2 linked regions of the Schizosaccharomyces pombe genome follow. The protein of the gene in region 2 interacts with the protein of the main gene of each other region in a biochemical or structural test. Each region holds a gene or a part of one and is shown on either strand. Other genes may lie near its edges.

Region 1 (3,853 bases), 2.0 Mb from region 2:
GCATTCGTTCTTCCCAACAAACCTATTGCTGACAACTTTCCGTTAAAGAACTTTGCAGTTCCCGTTGAGGTTGTGGAACGAGCAAGCGGATTAGAGATCTTATCAAACGTACCCAAGGGTAACCGAAAACAACTTTGCAGTGAAGTGGTGTGTCAGTTAAATGTTAAGGAGTTTGTTGAATCAGTTAAACAAAAACAAAAGAATCAAGGTAAATGATAAGAATAAGGAAATTTAATGAATCTCTAGTTTTTCTAGTTTTTCCGGTGATCGTTCTTTATTATGAAAATATTTAAACTGTTATTTACACAATAATACTTAAATGCTACATGTCAAAGAAACAATTATAAGTATTTTACCCAGTAGTATAACAACACTTGTAAGTGTTTAGCATGATTAGGAAAAGAACATGAAACGAATTTTAATTGCTGAAAGTTTATAATTATTAGAGAGAAAGCGCGTGAGCTACGTTGAAAAGAAAAATTTCTACGTTGCATATTAAGCTTTGCCGTCACTTCACAACTATACAACAAGACACATATCATAGGAGAGTAAAACAAAATGATAGAAAAAAAAATCATTATTATTCAGTTGAGATTTTTCTGCTCTCGTTGCATACGAGAGATATAGGTTCGAGAAACAATGTTCCAAGCATCCATATAGCGTTCCATACATTTGGAAACGCAAGACTTTTGTCTAGTTAGAATAAAAGTATTTTAATAGTTCTCATACCTTTTCATTGGGATCGAATGTGGAACCAGGCTCCGGGATACATTTATCAAAACAGTTCTCATTGATTTTCTAGATAAACCGATTAGTTAAAACATTCAATAAAACATAAAAAATGAATGGAGCATACACTTATCAATTCGCCAGCTTGAGCAACAGCAAGTTCCTGACGAATTTGTTTCATGAAAATGGATTTTTTGTCTTCAGAAGAAGGTGCATTTCCACTATTTCCACCGAAAATGCCCATTTTGTTTAAGTATAACGTTAAAACTTATGAATGTGGATAATTTTTACTCCTTTACAAGGAAAATTAATGAGGAAATGGTACGTTCGTGGAAAGTACCAAACGGTGTACTTAGGGAGACTAATTCAGAAACCGGCCATCATCACCAATTAGACTTCGTTAATAGAAAATGGATTTTCTAATATGCTGACATATGCGATACAACCAGACAGCAATCTTTGTTTTGTTTTCTACTTGGTATAAAAAAAAAAGATTTAATAAAATATTTCTAAACTAATGGATAGATATACTATTCGGGTCCTTTTGGTGAGTTTAGAAATAAAAGTTTTTTCAGCGTTTTTTTATTATTATTATTTTTAATATTTTAATATACGAAATGAATCGTTCATGACTTTTCATTACCCTTGTTTAGAAAAAAAAATAAAAATCCCAATTTGTAAGAAATTTTTATAGAGTTTTATAGTCTCGAAATTAAATCATGGAATTAGCACATCTTTTACTGCAAATAATCTGAGAATCAAACAAGTCACGTAAACATTTCAATGTTTAATACTGCTAGCGATATTATGGTGTATTAAATTTTATAACAAAAACGAGTTAGCTTGACATTGATAAAATTAATGCGACTGTTATTTACATTGAGAATTATATTGTTAAGTGAAATAGGATTATTCGAAGGAAAATCTATTTCGCTTACTATTCCTTTATATTTCTTTAGAATGATACCTTTGGATTGACTATCAATTGTATCTGTAAATCCACGGACACTTTCTTAATTCTGCGAAACTGCATGGGCGGCAAATTTTTCTTATCTTGAAATCTCTATATAGCCTTGCCCGAGGTAAATAAATAACAGGACGGCTGGGAGGTTGATCTTATCCAGAGCCAAACTCACCACCAAATCTCTTCTGTTTCTTTACAGTGGGAGAAATATTGTTTACCATTGTTATTATTATTATTATAGATATTCCTTTTAGTGTTTATTTTTTAAAACAAAAAAAAATACTTGTAACGAATTTTCATTAAGTATCATCTCTTGGATCGCTAAAATAAATCAGCGAATATTATAGTGCTGAAGCATTACACGTTCGAGGAAGTTGACAAATTTTAATAATTGCTTATCATTCCTATTAAATTAATAGTTTGATTTCCCTTTCAGGTTGCTTCGCTTTTGTAGCCCTTTGTTTCCCGTTCTTTTTATTTATTGTCCTCCACACTCATATAAAAAACTTTGACCATAAAAAGCTTAGACAAGCTCTTCTCAAATTCATTTTAAAATTATCTGTTCGCAAGCATTTTTGTCCCATGTCTGTGATAGCTCCTTCTTTTGATATGGCTAACATACTCACGGAGTTGTCTTCATTTTTAGGAGCATTATCCCTGGGATGTTGGGTCGTTTTACTGATCCCTCAATTACTTGAAAATTATAAAAACCAGTCTGGTGAAAGTATCTCTGATTTATTTTTAATCATCTGGCTTATTGGCGATTTCTTCAATGTACTTGGTTCCATTTACGGAAATGTCTCTTCTACTGTATTGGTTCTCTCATTTTATTACATTGTCTCTGACAGTACCCTACTTATGCAAATTTACTACTATCGTTGGAAAGCTGCCCGTCGTATTGCCAGTCGTGAACACGAACCCTTACTCCAAAGTCGTTCATTAGAAGAAGGTCTTCATGCACCCATTGGTAAACAACAAATTTGGTGGGATCGCCTTTCTACCCGTCAACAATTTGGTGTAATGGGATGTGTGGTTATTGTCTCGACAATCGTTGGAAACTTAATTATTTCTAGTGCCTCTTCTGACAAGAGTGATGATGACTTGAATGCATGGCCGTTTACTGCCGGTTGTATCAGTTCTGTGTTATACTTCTGTGCTCGTATTCCTCAAATCATCAAGAATCACAAAGCAAAGTCTACCGAAGGATTATCCATTATCTTTTTTGTGTTGGCCTCTGTAGGAAACACTTCATACGCTTTCAGCATTCTCGTATTTCCCGCCTCCGATTACTTAAACTACACATATGCTAACCTGCCTTGGATACTTGGCGCGTTCAGCACCATCTTCCTTGATATATATATCTTCTACCAGTTTATCAAGTATCGTAATCATTATTAACACAGCATAATTATCAAAAGGTCATAACTTTACCATTGCGGAATAAGAACGGCTGAGGGAAACAAATCTATGCAAGCGTTAATAATATATTCCATGTCTATAGTTCAAAGTTTTCAGAGGAAACAAAGATATGTCGTTTAGATGCTAGTAGCAACACAATATTCTTTCAAAAACATGTATTCTAATGTCACACATGATGACAGTAAACACTAGTTTGATACTTACCAAGTTGGTTAACCGGTTTATCAAATACATCAGTGCCGTATGAGGCACGGGGAAAGGTAGTGGTAAACTTAGTTGGCGGTGACACGTTCATTTTCTCAGCGACCTGTTGTGCCAATTGGCGTAGCGTCTCCTCAGCTGCAATAGTTATATTACAAACTTGACCATCGTGTCGGATAGAAAATCTGCCTGATGTAGGAGGGGTGCGAGTACAAGTAGAAGACGAATTGGCATTTTTAGGCTGCTTGATGGGAGCAGCCGTTTCTTTTACAGAAGAATTCTTATTTTCCCGTTCTGCAGCTCGTCGTTTTTTATCGCGTTCAATTTCTGCGAGGATTTTCTTACGCTGCTCAGCATCTTCAGCCTTTTGTTGACGGATCTTTTGCAAGTCACGTAAGCGGGCTTGATCCTGCATCTTTCTCATAGCCTGTGCAGTTTCATCATTGGATTTTTGAAGGATTTTATAATTTGTCTTCTTCTCTTCCAGAGCCAAAATCCTTTCTTTTTCCTTTTTCTCCTTTGCTTTCTCTCTTAAAGCTT
Region 2 (5,730 bases):
TCTAGTTTTTCACTTTCCTGCATTTGAATGTTTTCTATGCTCATTACCCGAGCTAATTGAATAGACCCTTGAATAGCACGAAAATTGCAGTATGCTCTATAACAAAGATAAAAACCCGGAATATTTGGTATTAGAGGTATGAGAATGAAAGGTATAGTCAATGGTAATCCAATAATATTACCAATAAGGTAATTTGTATGGGTCTTTTGTAATTGTTTGGACCGATTCAACTCAGCTAAAATAGTACTTGATTCCAAATTTGGAGGATGTTCAATATACAAAGTTTGGTGTAATTCTGTATCATTTAGCTTCTTAACAGGAGCAATCGCCCTTAAAAAATTTTCTTCATAAGGAGTTGCATGCAAAATTCGGTTTCCCAAAGACACAACCTTTTGTTTGGTATAGCTTTTTGAAGCACTCCAGGAGTCCCAATACTTGTAAATTCTGTTTATAATTTTGTCGTGAATAGTAACTTTTTTGGCAAGGTATTCAGAAGGATAACAATGTAAGAATACCCTTTGATTTGGCAAAGGAAGTGCAATAATTCTCATAATTAGTTAACGAATGTACTTAATTGTTTTTACAAAATAAATATTGAAATAAATAAACCTGCAGTAACACAAAGATGGGTGGATATACTAAAGTAGAAGCTAAAAGTGGGTAACGAATATCTATGTAGTAGTATTACTATCTAATTTAATCAAATTGATACGTATACAGAACAGTGCGGCTTTTTATTATACATGGCAGAAATACACGTGTTCAATAGCTTTTTTGATTAGTAAATTAATATATTAAAGAAAAGATACTGAAAGTCGGTAAAAAGTATCAGTCTCTGGTGCCAACAAAGAGAGACAACAATTTTGATGATTCAGTGAAATAGTCTATACAAGTAGTCTAACAATTAAAAACTAAATACTAAAACAAAAGCGATTAAATCATGTATCCACTCAAAGTCTCTTAGTACTCAAACGGATTTTCTACGACCCTCATAAATAGCAGCATTAAGTGATAGCAATAGTTCTGAAAGCAGAGATAGATGTTCGAATCAAAACTGGAGATCTACTTTCTCAATCTTAAGACTATGTTCAACAGAAAGTATTCAATAACTTTAAAAGCATTCGCCAGCAGCATCGTTTAAAGTAAAAAATTAAATGCAAATTGATATTCGCAAAAATGACAAAATATTTATATCAACTAGAACTGTATAACTTGGTCATCTTAAAGAGATTATTTAATAGCAATCTGTGAACGTTCTGAGACAACTGAAAAGGAGATCGATCCTTTTCCTTACAGACAAATCGGTGATTTCAGATTCCAGCAGCCAATGTATATATTGGAAAAATATTTTTAAAGAACATGTGTAATAAACTCCGGACAATATTAAAAAAAAAAAATAAACGAATGTAAAAGAAGCGATTCTTACAAGGAGGCTTCAGAACTCTCTAGACATATGCAGACAGTAAGAGGTCTTCTGTTAACATATGAATAATGGTAGGGTAAATTTTATCTTCAAATTAAAATTAAAACATTCCCGCTTCTTTCAGACTGTGTTGTAGAATTGTTTCCTTAACGGCAGAAAAGACAACCTTTATGTTAGATGTGTCTACAGCGGTGGTAATGTGAGGATATATATTATGCTTAGCCCGATTTATAGAAGGGTTCACAAATAACCAAAGAATATACCGGGTAATACTTTTAACAGAATTTTTACCTTCATATTGGGGGAAGTAATCCTGGAACGGAACATGTTCCAGTTTCTTCCGAAACAAATCAAATTTGTTCAAAAACAGAATGATAGAAGAATGCATAAACCACTGACTGTTTATAATAGAGTCGAATAAAGAAATACTTTCAACCAAACGATTGCGTTCTGGGGCGGCTCTTTCATAAAGCTTTTTATCATAATCATTTAAGGAAACACAAAATATGATTGAATTCACATTTTCAAAACAATAAATCCATTTCCTTCGTTCGGTTCTTTGACCACCAACGTCGAACATTCGAATTTGCAAATGATCCAATGTGAACGATATTTCCGAAATACCCAGAGTACTATTTCTAGACCGGAGAATGTCATCTATTGTAGGGACATAATGCCGACTGCAAATTTCATCGGCTCGCGAAAAAAAGTAAGGGGCAGAGTCAATGAGTACGGAATCATTTCCATATGTACAGGATCTAACACTATTGGCTGACCAAAGACTAGTAATAGCTTGGCCAATATTAGCATTAATAAGCTCACCAGGAGTTGGATTAAATTTTTCGATTATCTCGCAATTGTGGGTTCCTAAAGGGTCCAAGTTGATACCTTTTTGAACGATAATTTTAACAAGGGTTTTAGCAGATTCCAACAGGTTTCGTCGGATCACCGGAATAAATGTCATAATCTCTTCTTGACTAAACCCATTTTTGTTGAGAATTTTGATTTGCTTACTGATGGTACTTTTTCCACTATCGGAGGCACCTAGAAAACAATGGTTAGACTGACGATTGTAAGAAACAAAGGAAGGAAAATTTGCTATAGGAATCAAACAAAAAATCTGTGCTATGCAATGGAGAGAAACGGTAAGAGTGTAGAGCAACTGATTACAACATGCAACGACGACGAAAAGTGGTTAACTAGAAGAACGTTATCAAAGTCACCTTCACTGACTGAGTATTGAAGGGAAAGGGTAACCAAGAGTAGAGAACGTAGACGCAATTAGACAAACCATTTTCTGTCATTTCTTAAACAGTTTCTCTGTTTCGTAAATAGTTTCACTCATTTCGTTTCTTTATTTTTTTTCTCAATCTTTTCTGCTTTTTTGCTCGACTGCCCAAGCATATATAACTATTGAACAACAACAACAACATTGAGTAGTTTACGTACCTAAAAGCAACACTTTGTAAATCTTTTTATCCTTCTTCGAGGCATTTTCAATCTGCTTTTCGATTTTGCTGTTCAATTTTTTTGATTCACCGCTTTCAGATAATCCATTAAAAATCGTCATTTTTTTTTAATCCACTACTGCAGAATATAAATACGGGGATGTAGTAGGACACCAAACTTCTCAATCCGACAGCTAGCGGGTTTTTGGGATAAGATGGGAGAAATAAATATGAAACAAAGTAAGAAGGTTAAACGCAGGTAGGTAAGGTGTAGCAGCAGAGAGGCGAGGACTTTCCAAGAAAAGCCTTCAATCCAGTTCTTTTCCCAATTAAAGCAAAGATTAAATAATAAAATGGAAAGAGAGCAAGTTAGAAAGAAAAGTGAAACGCAAATAAATAAAAGTATTAAAAAAAAAGTTGAGGTAGCAAGTATGATTAAGTAGGAACAAGGGTGCGGGTGTCAAAAGGGGATATTACAGAATAGGAATCAATAATCAAAATATTGATTAGTCAGTCACTAAACTATACGCGCAAAGTTTGATTAACCCCCTTTATGGGCGACCTTTAAATCGCAATTTCAACTTTTTTTTGAGTTTCACCAGATGCCTCGAAAAGCAGGGGGTGGAGGAGAATGAGGAAGGATCGCAGGTCGGAAGCTAGCCGGCTAGCTAATTGACACAGTGAGTACGAGTGAATACCAAGGTTGATTAAGGCAAGAAGAAAAGGCTGAAATCAGTTGAAGAGATGCAGCGACAAATGAGAAACTCGTGAAAATTGATTTCTCGTCGTCTTTCGATGAACGAGAAAAAAATTAAGAATTGTACAAGGAAGAAAGAAGAATTAGAGGCAAAATATCTCAATTCTTACTACTGTCCAACTAACCGAGTGTACAATTAAATCCTTACTTTCAATTCACACTACCCTAAATCCAACAAGCAGCAGCAAAAGGGCAAGCGTTTTGATGCTTCAAACAGCTTAAGTAGCTAACAACTATGGTTAGATTGGTACCTGAGCGGTGATTTCGTCTATACTATTTCGAAAAAGACAGACGGCAACTCTGGTATAATTTGTATTTATGAGGCACTACGTCATGCATCATCCATTTACGATTTTAATTTTTCGAGTGGGGTAGAGAGGACAGTTCGGAAAATGTAACATTGGAAAAGGATCCAACACATACCACCAAACAAGCATCATTCAAGTAAAGAAGATTGGAGTGTAAGTCTTACTCTTCGATTATGACCTTGGGCGAGGGGAGCAGGCAGTAAGCTGAGACCTGTGTGAGCTTTGCATTCTATGTAAGTATCGCATAGAGAAGCGCCGCTCATCAAAATAGTTTTTTATGTTTTATGTTTATATGTCATTAACTGGTTGGTCCAGCATTTCTATACTACTAAACTATACTGCTCTATTACTACTCTAGTAACTCAATGAGTCGTCCCTTGTTTATGGCTGAAGATGCAAGCAATCGGGATAGCAAAGATGACCAAAGGAAGTGTTCCAAAAAACGCGCAATCTTTCCAAGCAATGTTTAATGAGTGTTTTCCCAATCTGAGTTTGTTCACTTTCATAATATTTTAAATTTTCAAGCCCCAATTTTACCAAGTTCAATTCCAGTTACGGAGACTTATTTACTCAGATATGAAAGTAAAGTGCACAAGGGATAAGGCAACTAACTTGATCGCAAAGCGTGGGCAGCTATCACAAAGCTAGAAAGAAACATATAAAAAATCCATAGACGATTGGGTACCAAGATGAAGCAAAGCATGTTTTCGCAACTGACCAGTTTTACCTGACAGTCGGAAAATTTTTCAGCTGTATAAAAAAAAGAAGACATGGGGACTTGCAAACAATCTAGAAAAAAGGGATTTTTGCGTATCTAGAACAAATGTTAAACATGAAATGGGGTCTTGAAACTGAATACAGCGAACTAGACATGCTTTTCGCCCCTCCCCCGCTTGGTCCATGAAAACATTACTAAGTATACCCTGCTACCATAACTCCTCTCCTATTTCTCATTGCTCGATAAATAGCACAAAGCAGCTTGACACTACAAACTACATTTCAACGCAAAAAAAATAAGGAGGACTTTGTTAAACTGCTCATCGTTCCTAATTTCATTCGGTTCCTTAAATTTAATGGGTAAGAATGGTAAGATATCCTGATGCCGTTACTTGCTGGTTACTTAGTCTTGGAGGTTCGGGAAGGACTGCATTTGCCCCGCTAAAATAAAATAATCTTCAGGTGAGATAGAATTAGCTAGGTTTCGTAATGTTTATGTGGTACTGAAGTCAATCCGTTGTTGTTCGTTCATTTATTCATTACATACTAATAAAAGCATGTACTAGTTATAAAAAAAAGTCTTCCAAGATATTCACATGTAGTGGGAGGGTTTTTATATTGTTTTGTTTTTTGATGGTTTTTTTTTTTTTATAAAGATGAAATTCTTATTTGCGTAAGTTTAATTTTTGCTTGATTATAGGTATCCTTGACAATTATTGAATATGTATCTTATATCTCTTATATATGTGTATCTTATATATCTTGCATATCTTGATATATCCCGATATATTGTGGAAACTAGTTTGCCGGATCTGTTTCATGTTGGTTTTAGGGCAATAATTTGAATTATGAGCAAGATGCGCTTCCCAGTTTAAAATAAAACTATGTTAATTTAATTCAAAAAATTATTATAAGAAAATAATTGAATAAATCAATCATTAGCTAAGTCAATATTAGAAGACAACGGAAAAAATATAGAGTAATCTTGTTTTTTCCTAATTTTTTTCTTTTGCCAGTTGGTTGAGAATATGTCCAATATCTATATTTACAGTGTGCAAAAAAGTGGATCATGAACAA

Evidence for each region.
Region 1: the proteins of gpa2 (region 2) and stm1 form a complex in vitro, tested with the Schizosaccharomyces pombe proteins (one study listed by BioGRID).

What each region holds. Positions count from the first base shown.
Region 1 is NC_003424.3:4,481,198-4,485,050, reverse strand, and holds stm1 (G-protein-coupled receptor Stm1), read left to right. Parts: upstream 1-1,851; 5' UTR 1,852-2,275; coding exon 2,276-3,091; 3' UTR 3,092-3,120; coding exon of another isoform or gene 3,121-3,158; 3' UTR 3,159-3,259; downstream 3,260-3,853. Other genes in the region: endodeoxyribonuclease Pnu1, read left to right, coding at 1-216; TIM22 inner membrane protein import complex subunit Tim13, read right to left, coding at 585-686, 730-798, 857-973; SPOM_SPAC17C9.11C (zf-C2H2 type zinc finger protein/UBA domain protein), read right to left, coding at 3,121-3,158, 3,317-3,853. UniProt on the Schizosaccharomyces pombe protein: Amino acid transporter that moves basic amino acids across the vacuolar membrane. Appears to function as an arginine/histidine antiporter.
Region 2 is NC_003424.3:2,515,323-2,521,052, forward strand, and holds gpa2 (heterotrimeric G protein alpha-2 subunit Gpa2), read right to left. Parts: upstream 3,918-5,730; 5' UTR 2,994-3,917; coding exon 2,873-2,993; intron 2,710-2,872; exon of another isoform or gene 2,468-2,709; coding exon 1,524-2,467; 3' UTR 731-1,523; downstream 1-730. Other genes in the region: SPOM_SPAC23H3.12C (hydrogen/potassium transport protein), read right to left, coding at 1-551. UniProt on the Schizosaccharomyces pombe protein: Alpha subunit of the heterotrimeric guanine nucleotide-binding protein (G protein) involved in glucose-induced cAMP signaling.